Arabidopsis thaliana: one gene and its partner. Each later gene encodes a partner of the first gene's protein in a complex. Each region holds a gene or a part of one and is shown in the gene's direction. Other genes may lie near its edges. The genes, in order: BGLU22 and JAL33.

Region 1 (5,960 bases):
AAGTACAATAATGTGATTGCTGATGCATCGTGACGTAAAACAAGAACACCTTCAAAGTCAAACACCAAGAGAGATTGTCGTTACATGTGTTTTTAATGATATATAAGGAAGCTTCATTATTTTGGAGTTATACAACGACTTTCATTCAGTCACATTTAATATATATTTGTTGCTTAATCGTGACACATGTCGAATTTATTTTATTTTTTAGTATTTAATAGTTTTATATTTAATTGGAAGTTTCCATTTCCTTGACTACGCCATAAAGATACACAAAGACTCTTAACTGATCCAGATCATTGAAGTAACCAAGGGTAAGTAATTGAACTGGCCATAGTTAGTAAAAGATTGTACCAACCGTTTCTTCATTCTTAGGAGAGCAAAAAAAACTAGTCGCAGTGTATTCTTCTTCTATGACGACTAGACGAGAGTAGTGAGTCGCAATGTGCTTTGGTAGGGCATCAGCTAAGAGGAATACACATATTTTTAAGTTGCTTTCTTCCAAGGTACAATATTTGACATATATATGGACTTGTAAACTTACCAGATTTTCTGATCATGTAAATAGTAGCTTTCAATGTCCTCGATCACAAAGGCCATGAAGTGTAGCATTTTGAGAAATGGTCATTCCAAATCTAAATGGACTTTCTCATTGAGTTGTTTGAAAGAAAAATAATCAATTACACCACCAATTGATCGACCAAGAAAAATGTTTGGTGAATAATAGTTACCCCAATTTGTGTTTTTTTGGGCAAAAAAGTTGCCCCACATTTATATTTTAATTTTGATGCCTAAATTTCGTTGATCTTAATTAGGCTTTACCGCACTGTCCTGACAGCAGTCAGCATGCGACTAGAATGTGACCAATTGTTTGTCCGAAACCGAAGATTACTCATTCCAAACTCCCAGTCTAATTGGAGGTTGTGTCTTGATATCTAATAACTTGTTTGATAACCATTATAAGGTCTTTTGCTTAGGTTTTACGGTCCATAAGTTACCAATGTATCCTATGATCAGGACGACTACTACAGGTTCAAGATTTTGAAGATATAGGTCATACACTAGATTTTCTTATTTATAATTGTATAGTTTAGCTTAGTCACCCGGGATCTCTCATCGAATGAATCATCCTATTTAAATAATAGTCAAGCGGAAACCAATAATGAAAGATTATATTAAGTTATGAAAACGTCAATAATAATCATGATTAAGATAAGATCGAAAACACCATTTGGATGATTAGATCTATCTATATAGTAAAATAAAATAAACATTATCAACGAGGCCTGGTTGTGGCATATTAAAAACAAGACATTAATGAGAGATCAGTATCGCTATAAAAAACGACACTAACATATAAATGAACCATCCTAAAATTGTTTTCTTAATCAAGACAAAAGAAAAAAAAGAAAACTAAAAACCAAAATGTCATTGCAAAAGTTTCTCATGGGGACACGTTGCTCCTAACCACCATCGTATACAATAGTTAAATAATTGTATACTATCTTAGTGGGATAAGTAAATGAAAGTTTATTCAATAAATATTAATATCTTAAACGTCAATAATACCTAAAGTAAGATCCAAAAACTCGATCTGGATCATTACTATAGAAAATTAAAGAAAATGATTAACGAGGCCTTGTTGGCATATCTTTTTCTTTTCTTGTAAAACAGATCTGGTTGCATATTTGAAAGTAGACATTAAATGAGAGATCCGTTGATTATGGAAGATTAAATGTTAATATTGTTGCTCGTTAAACACGAGAAATATTATTAAGACGAAGGTGCAACAATAGATGAAGACTTCAGTTATAGGACATACACGATTTTTTTTTTTTTTTGATAGGATACACTATTTATTTAAAGGCACGTTTTTATTATATGTTCCACGCGTAATATAATATGTTCCAAACTTTGAAAAATAAGTAAGAACACACCTATATATAAAATAAATTTATTAAACAAATATAGTTTAGTGACTTATTTGTCATTACCAAACAATCAAAATCACTATATAATTAAGAACTCTGTTTAGATGTAAACAAATCATCACAAACTTGTTCTCTTCCAAAAGACCAAAAATTAGAAACCATGGCATTGCAAAAGTTCCCTCTCCTGGGGCTTCTTTTTCTCATAACCATTGTCGTCTCTTCGACAATAGCCGTCGATGATCCTGTGTGCCCAACGACGTCCAAACTAAGCCGAGCAAGTTTCCCTAATGGGTTTGTGTTTGGCACAGCTACTGCTGCGTTTCAGGTAAACTGTGAGACATCAAAATGAATTATTTACTACACTATACTTCAAAAATATGTATTAGTGTTGTGTCTCCATCAAAATTCAAGCCTAAGTCCAAATGCTGAATTCAAACATATGTTATTACCTCAACTCATCAGCTATTTTCGTTATGTCATTAGGTTGAAGGTGCAATTAATGAAACTTGTCGTGGACCTGCTCTATGGGATATCTTCTGTAAGAGAAATCCAGGTGAGTGTATAATCTATATTTTCTATACAATATCTTTAGATATCTAAATTCATTCACTTTTTATTTTTAAATTACAGAGAGATGTAGTGGCCACAACGCCGATGTGGCCGTTGATTTCTTCCATCGTTATAAGGTAAATATATATATGTATTTTGAATCTAAATTTAAAGTATATTCAAAAGAAAAAAAACATCTTTACAATAAAGTGCCTCTTGTTTGAAAAGAATTTTGAGAAAATTAACTCAGAGGATGCTTACAAAACTTTGAAATGGTTAGACCCTTGAGAGGAGCCACACTGTATATATAATATATTAATATAAAGTTGAGGTATATATTAATATAAATTTAAGGTATATATTAATATAATTTTAAGACAAATATAACTTATATTTTATACTTTTAGTTTGCTGATATTATACGAGATATTATTGAAAATTTGTCTCGTCTTAAAAATGTTTGTAGGAAGATATTCAACTAATGAAGAATCTAAACACAGACGCATTCAGACTCTCAATCGCATGGTCAAGAATATTTCCTCGTGAGTATATGTCTGCAGATCTCTAGTTTGATTTAGTAATCGAATTTGGTGAATTGATATATAAATCAATAACTAATGAATTTTACATTTATTGACTAATCAAACAAACTAACGGGTTTTTAGATGGGAGAAAGGAGAAGGGAGTGAGTCAAGCTGGTGTGAAATTCTACCACGACCTGATCGATGAGCTCCTTAAAAATGGTTATATACATATAAACTAATTAATTAAAAAAGACAAGAAATATAGTATCATTATTTAACATTTCTATCTATTTTTACATTGTAACTAGGTATAATTCCGTTTGTGACTGTTTTCCATTGGGACACTCCACAAGATTTAGAAGACGAATATGGCGGTTTCTTAAGCGAGAACATTGTGTATGTTTTTGTAAATTGAAACAAAATACATCTAATTAAATTTTATATGGAAATTATTAGTTTAATATCATTTTTTGCAAAAATACAGGAAAGATTTCCGAGAATATGCAGATTATGTTTTCACTGAATACGGTGGAAAAGTGAAAAACTGGATCACTTTCAACGAGCCATGGGTCTTCGCTCATGCAGGTTACGACGTAGGCAAGAAGGCGCCAGGACGTTGTTCTCGCTACCTTAAAGGTTGTGAAGACCGAGATGGACGATCAGGTTATGAGGCTTATCTAGTTAGTCACAACCTCCTCAACGCTCATGCAGAAGCTGTTGAAGTTTTCCGCCAAAAGGTAATTTACATTAGATATATATATCAAAATTAACTATCAGGTTTTGGATATGAATATAATTTGTTTTGTGTTGTGTTAATGGACATTTTGTAGGTTAAAGGTGGGAAAATTGGAATCGCACATAGTCCGGCTTGGTTCGAACCACATGATCTTAAAGATTCAAATGACGTTCCAACTGTTAGCCGTGTACTTGACTTTATGTTGGGATGGTAGGTATATACTTTGATAAAATGGGGTCTTGTATACAATTTCATATAATTGATGGAGTTTTGATTATTATTTGTAGGCATCTAGACCCAACTACTTTTGGAGATTATCCACAAATCATGAAAGACCTTCTTGGTCACAGATTGCCCAAATTCACTTCTTCACAAAAAGCAAAATTGAAAGATTCGACCGATTTCGTAGGGCTTAACTACTATACTTCAACATTTTCAAACCATAATGAAAAGCCAGATCCGTCTACACCAAGTTGGAAGCAAGATTCTCTTGTTGCTTGGGAACGTAAGTTTTTTTTTCCTTACATGAAACCAAACCAAGAAACTAAGAGAAAATGTTTTCTTTATAATACTAATTGATATGTATACATTTTCACTTTTAAATTTCAGCTAAGAATGTAGATCACAGCGCCATTGGTAGCCAGGTATGCGTTAAACTAAACTAGTCCTAGTTTGAGATTGTTTTAACAACTAAACAATTAAAATATTTCTCTCAACGACATAACATCTATCACCATTGTTTTATTTTCAGCCTCTTACCGCTGCATTGCCCGTCTACGCTAAAGGTTTTAGAAGTCTTTTAAAGTACATCAAAGATAAATACGCAAACCCGGAAATTATGATCATGGAAAATGGTAACTCGAGATTTATGGTTACTGTGTGTTGATTTAGTTTGGAGTTAAAATATATATTCATCTTAATGTTGTTGTTTTTCTAGGATATGGAGATAAACTTAAGGACAAAGATTCGGTTGAGGTTGGTACTGCTGATTATAACAGGAAATACTATCTTCAGAGGCATCTTCTAGCTATGAACGAAGCTATTTGGTAACCGTTTACTATTTATTTATTTAGAGAACAATTCTATGGAATGATCTAATCAAGAAAATTTGTGTATGTGCAGCATTGACAAAGTGAGAGTTACGGGATACTTTGTATGGTCATTATTAGATAACTTTGAATGGCAAGATGGTTATAATAACAGATTCGGACTCTATTACGTCGATTTCAAAAATAACCTCACACGTTATGAGAAAGAATCAGCCAAGTACTACAAAGATTTCCTCGGTCAAGGTGTTCGTCCATCCGCGCTCAAGAAGGATGAGCTTTAAGTTATATTTTGAGGATTTGGTTTTCTGTTCAATGCTTCTTTCCTATGTTTTAGTTTGTGATTGATCATGATTCATGAAGTCTTGGTTAATAATAATAAAAGTGTTTTGTATTCCTTCAGTTTCTAGCTTATTTGACATGATCAAGAATGCTTTAGTATAAATATATTATCCTTATATGAAGGTATCTTTACCTTCAAAACATGAAGAAATATTGTATTATATATATTAAAAAAAGTCTTAAATTTACAAAAGGACTGATGTTTTTAAATATGAAGTAAAAATATCATAGTTTTTAAAATATTGAAAATACGAATTTACCTCTATTTAAAGAAATAGATTATGCAATAACTAGACGTCGTCTTAACAACTAAATCGTGCAAATATTTTAATGACTAATAACTTCAACAACTTAAACCGCTTGGCGATGAAATAAAACAATGGAAATAGTTTAACATTTTTAGAAAATCACCATGATTTGAGATCGGATAAGATGTCACACCGTAGCTACAAGTTTGAGATTAATCTTTCCAAACAATTTAGATAAAATCAAGTTACATAATTTGATATCGGATAAGATAAGACAATGTACATAAAAATGAACACAACATAATATCAGCAAGATGGTTCTAATATAACAGATTGGGATTCTACTACGTCAATTTTAAAAATAATCTCAATGTTATGAGAAACAATCAGCCAGGTATTACAAAGATTTCTTTGGTCAAGGTTTTAAGGCCCTGTTCGTTTCTACATTTGATAGATCCATCCAACTGATCCATTCAACATGTCTATTTGGATGATTTATTTAACTCTTGTTCGTTTCATTTTTAGTCGGTTCATTTGACTGGACCATCCGAATGAGATGTTCGTTTGCTTATCTCTATCTCCAT
Region 2 (4,292 bases), on another chromosome or scaffold:
TGAGGTTGATGCAGACGACTACATCGTAGCAGTGCAGGTGACCTATGACAAAATATTTGGCTATGACTCCGACATCATCACATCCATAACCTTCTCTACATTCAAGGGAAAAACCTCGCCACCCTACGGATTAGATACCGAAAATAAGTTTGTACTCAAGGAAAAGAACGGTGGCAAACTTGTTGGGTTCCATGGACGCGCTGGCGAAATTCTATATGCTCTTGGAGCGTATTTTACTACAACCACAACTCCTTTGACTCCTGCCAAGAAACTACCGGCTGTTGGTGGTGACGAAGGAACTGCCTGGGATGATGGTGCTTTCGATGGTGTTAAGAAAGTGTATATAGGGCAAGCCCAAGATGGTATATCGGCCGTGAAGTTTGTGTACGATAAGGGCGCCGAGGATATTGTAGGAGATGAACATGGAAATGATACTCTACTCGGATTTGAAGAGGTATAATACTTCTTGCTTTCTTCTCTTGTGGTTGAATGTGAAATGTTTTTACAAAATGATATGAATATCTTACACAAAAATATGCTTGGGTAAGGGAATCCACATAAACTTTCGTGGATAAAATCATGCATATTTTATATTAGCTAGTGTTGAATATCTCCATTTTTGATATAAAATATTTTAACTAACTCAATTGTTTTATTTGGTTTCCATCAATTGCAGTTCCAACTTGACTATCCAAGTGAATATATTACTGCAGTTGAAGGCACATATGACAAAATATTTGGTTTTGAGACTGAAGTCATAAATATGCTTAGGTTCAAAACTAATAAGAAAACGTCTCCTCCCTTTGGAATTGAAGCTGGCACAGCCTTCGAACTCAAAGAAGAAGGTTGCAAGATCGTCGGGTTTCATGGAAAAGTAAGTGCGGTGCTTCATCAGTTTGGAGTCCATATCCTTCCTGTCACCAACTGATCATCACATATATATATATATATATATGTCTCTTCTATACCACCAAGTTTGTCACGTGTGATATCTTCATTAAGTTTTAAGTTTTCTAATTTTTCTTGTTCTGTTTATCTATGTTTTAAGTGTCTTTAAGTATGGTGTTTTGTGAAGTTGTTATGCCTGTAATATTATATGTGATTGGCTTTAATAAAAGTGGGTGATTATTATACATATCAGTTGCACATTAGGAGAAAAGCTTATATTCATACTCAGTATCTCGGCATCTAGTGTATGATGGAAACAATTATCTTTAAGACTTTAGCATTATTTAAAGTGAGAAACAAGAAAACTTCGCCATAATTGGAGAATTGGTCATTTTGATCAAAATCCAACACCAGACTACGCGCAGTCCGTTTCGAAGGAGGTACACTCCACTTAGTATCTAGATTTAATTTATTATACAGTATGTTTAATTTTTTTTTTTTTTCAAACACATATTTTTCTTCTTAAGAATATATATGGAAATATAATATGTTAATTATGTAATGATCAAATAATATTAAAACACACATATATATATATATATAAACCATATGAGCAATTGGATAACGGGTAAAATCTAACCAGGTTTCAAAAATTGTAACTATTGTTGATTTTTTTTTTTTTTTGATCAACAACTATTGTTGAGAAAAACATGTATTATGTGAGCAAAGGAAAAAAAGGGAAAAAAAACTACAGATCAGTAATATCAACTACTCCAATTCAACTTATTTGCTTCATATTCACAACATTCTAATATTTTAATGACTCGTGGATCACGAGATTATATTAACATTTCTATAGATTAATTAGTGGCCTACATTCAATGATATCAATAATTACACATTTTATCCAGAAATAAAAATAATCAATAAATACGCATGAAGGTCATTGTAATGCATATCAATAACTCGTTCCCTCTCTCCTCAGGTAAATTCTCAGTCTCTCGTCTGATAATAGTTTTGTAGAGTTTGGTTAATAAAACTAATCGTGTACGCTACTAATACGTACAGGTAACTAATTAATATTCAAAAAGATGGCTCAAAAAGTGGAAGCAGGGGGTGGCGCCGGAGGAGCTTCATGGGATGATGGTGTCCACGATGGCGTTAGAAAGGTGCATGTAGGGCAAGGCCAAGATGGTGTGTCATCTATCAACGTCGTGTATGCGAAGGACTCTCAGGATGTTGAAGGAGGTGAACACGGAAAGAAAACGTTACTTGGATTTGAAACGGTATGTAGTGGTGTTTGCTACCACTCTCTTTGAGTTTAACTTATTAGCCTTGTTCGGATCAGTTTTAAAGCTTTGTAAAATGAGAACCAATTAAGACTAGACCAATTCACACCTAATACGGTCTAGATTGAGTTAATCTATACAACATCTCTACTCACGAGAGGTATCTTTTCGATCATTGCAGTTTGAGGTTGATGCAGACGACTACATAGTAGCAGTGCAAGTGACCTACGACAACGTGTTTGGCCAAGACTCTGACATCATCACATCTATTACCTTCAATACATTCAAGGGAAAAACATCTCCACCCTATGGATTGGAAACGCAAAAGAAGTTTGTACTCAAGGACAAAAACGGTGGTAAACTTGTTGGCTTCCATGGACGCGCTGGTGAAGCTTTATATGCTCTTGGAGCATATTTTGCTACAACCACAACTCCTGTGACTCCTGCCAAAAAACTATCTGCAATTGGTGGTGATGAAGGAACTGCATGGGACGACGGTGCGTACGATGGTGTCAAGAAGGTGTACGTAGGACAAGGCCAAGATGGGATATCAGCCGTTAAGTTTGAGTACAACAAAGGCGCGGAGAATATCGTAGGAGGTGAACATGGAAAGCCTACTTTACTCGGATTCGAGGAGGTATTTTTTGTTTTTGCTATCAAAATTCAAAATATGTTGTATCTTTTCATTTTCTTAAAACTAATTGACAGTAAGCAGATTGATCTATATGATTTAAAATCCTTTAATTGCAGTTTGAGATTGACTATCCAAGTGAATACATCACCGCAGTTGAAGGCACCTATGATAAAATCTTTGGGAGTGATGGCCTAATCATAACTATGCTTAGGTTCAAGACTAATAAACAAACGTCTGCTCCCTTTGGACTTGAAGCTGGCACAGCCTTCGAACTTAAAGAGGAAGGGCACAAGATCGTTGGCTTCCATGGAAAAGCCAGTGAGTTGCTTCATCAGTTTGGAGTCCATGTCATGCCACTCACCAACTGATCACATTACAGCTACCTCCTTCGCTTCCATCGAACTTGTTAATGTGATCTCTTGAAAATAACTTGTTATACCTATGATGGTTATGCCTATCTATGTTTAAATGTTTTTAAGCGTTCTCTTTTGTGATGTTGGTCTTTATATAATGTTACGTATGATAGATTTGAATAAAGGTGGTTGATTCCATCCCTATAAATTGCACATTAAGTCCCATCGTGAACAACGTTCGATCCATACTAAATTAAGTTACTGCAAGTGTGTTTAGCGTATTCAGATTAACATTTTACTGAATTAATTTTGTTTTAGGTAAAGACCCGCGAATATATGTTTAATATGTTTAAATGAAGTCCAATTATTACATGGGGACTATAGATCATATAATCATAGATTAAAGTTCATTATTGTTTAGGTATAAATAAAAGTTTTTTGAAAATAGTATTAGGTTTTGTAAGTAAAAATTGGTTAATTGGGTGGTCATGATCATACTGATAAAAAAATGAAAGTATATGAAAAAAGGATTGTTGGAATGTATTAATTTGGCTCGGCTTTGGCAAACCTGGGATAGATTGCGTCCTAACTTTTAGTGATTTGGCATTTAGGCCTTACCAATCAACTGATCCAGCCCATGTAATGCTAATCTTGGAATTTTCCCTTTTTGAAATTCAGTTTGCAATATATTAATCTTGGATTTTTCCATCTTTCTAATTGATTTACAATATTTTTATATTGGATCAGCCGCGTAAGGAGGAGATCTGATCTGATCTGATCCACACACGTCTCACGAGTGTAGTAGGCTCGACGTGCTCAAACTCAAAGTGTGATAACGTATTTTTTAAGCTTAAAAGAAGTCATCATTATTGTTATCTGTCTCAATAGAAATAAACGCCACGAGATCCACGAGTCGCATTTTTTTTATTTTGCCAAAAGTCAAAAATATGTTTCCATATATATCTTCGGAAATTAAGAAGAATTAGATTTTAATCTGCGGTATACCGCGGGGACAATTTATCTTTTTAAAGTTAGTATAATTTTTTTTTGCAAATTATATCTATTTATAATATATTTTTATTTTATAGTTTACAATTATTATTAAGTAACGTACTGCCAAACCCGTCC

What was found.
Region 2: BGLU22 (region 1) and JAL33 share a complex: the UniProt entries of both Arabidopsis thaliana proteins name them as parts of the PYK10 complex.

Annotation. Positions count from the first base shown.
Region 1 is NC_003070.9:24,705,869-24,711,828, reverse strand, and holds BGLU22 (Glycosyl hydrolase superfamily protein), read left to right. Parts: upstream 1-1,832; 5' UTR 1,833-2,091; coding exon 2,092-2,256; intron 2,257-2,414; coding exon 2,415-2,484; intron 2,485-2,561; coding exon 2,562-2,617; intron 2,618-2,946; coding exon 2,947-3,022; intron 3,023-3,145; coding exon 3,146-3,223; intron 3,224-3,312; coding exon 3,313-3,400; intron 3,401-3,488; coding exon 3,489-3,741; intron 3,742-3,834; coding exon 3,835-3,950; intron 3,951-4,027; coding exon 4,028-4,245; intron 4,246-4,349; coding exon 4,350-4,384; intron 4,385-4,491; coding exon 4,492-4,594; intron 4,595-4,677; coding exon 4,678-4,786; intron 4,787-4,862; coding exon 4,863-5,070; 3' UTR 5,071-5,317; downstream 5,318-5,960. UniProt on the Arabidopsis thaliana protein: Beta-D-glucosidase active on scopolin >> esculin >> 4-MU-glucoside. No activity with DIMBOA-glucoside, pNP-glucoside, oNP-glucoside and sinigrin as substrates.
Region 2 is NC_003074.8:5,586,614-5,590,905, forward strand, and holds JAL33 (Mannose-binding lectin superfamily protein), read left to right. Parts: upstream 1-1,678; 5' UTR 1,679-1,873; exon of another isoform or gene 1,874-1,956; 5' UTR 1,957-1,979; coding exon 1,980-2,174; intron 2,175-2,358; coding exon 2,359-2,814; intron 2,815-2,927; coding exon 2,928-3,179; 3' UTR 3,180-3,472; downstream 3,473-4,292. Other genes in the region: MLP-300B (myrosinase-binding protein-like protein-300B), read left to right, coding at 1-454, 677-928. UniProt on the Arabidopsis thaliana protein: Sugar-binding protein showing significant affinity for (Glc alpha(1-4)Glc)(3) maltohexaose, (Glc alpha(1-6)Glc)(3) isomaltohexaose, Gal alpha(1-4)Gal beta(1-4)Glc, GalNAc alpha(1-3)(Fuc alpha(1-2)) and Gal beta(1-3)(Fuc alpha(1-4))GlcNAc beta(1-3)Gal beta(1-4)Glc.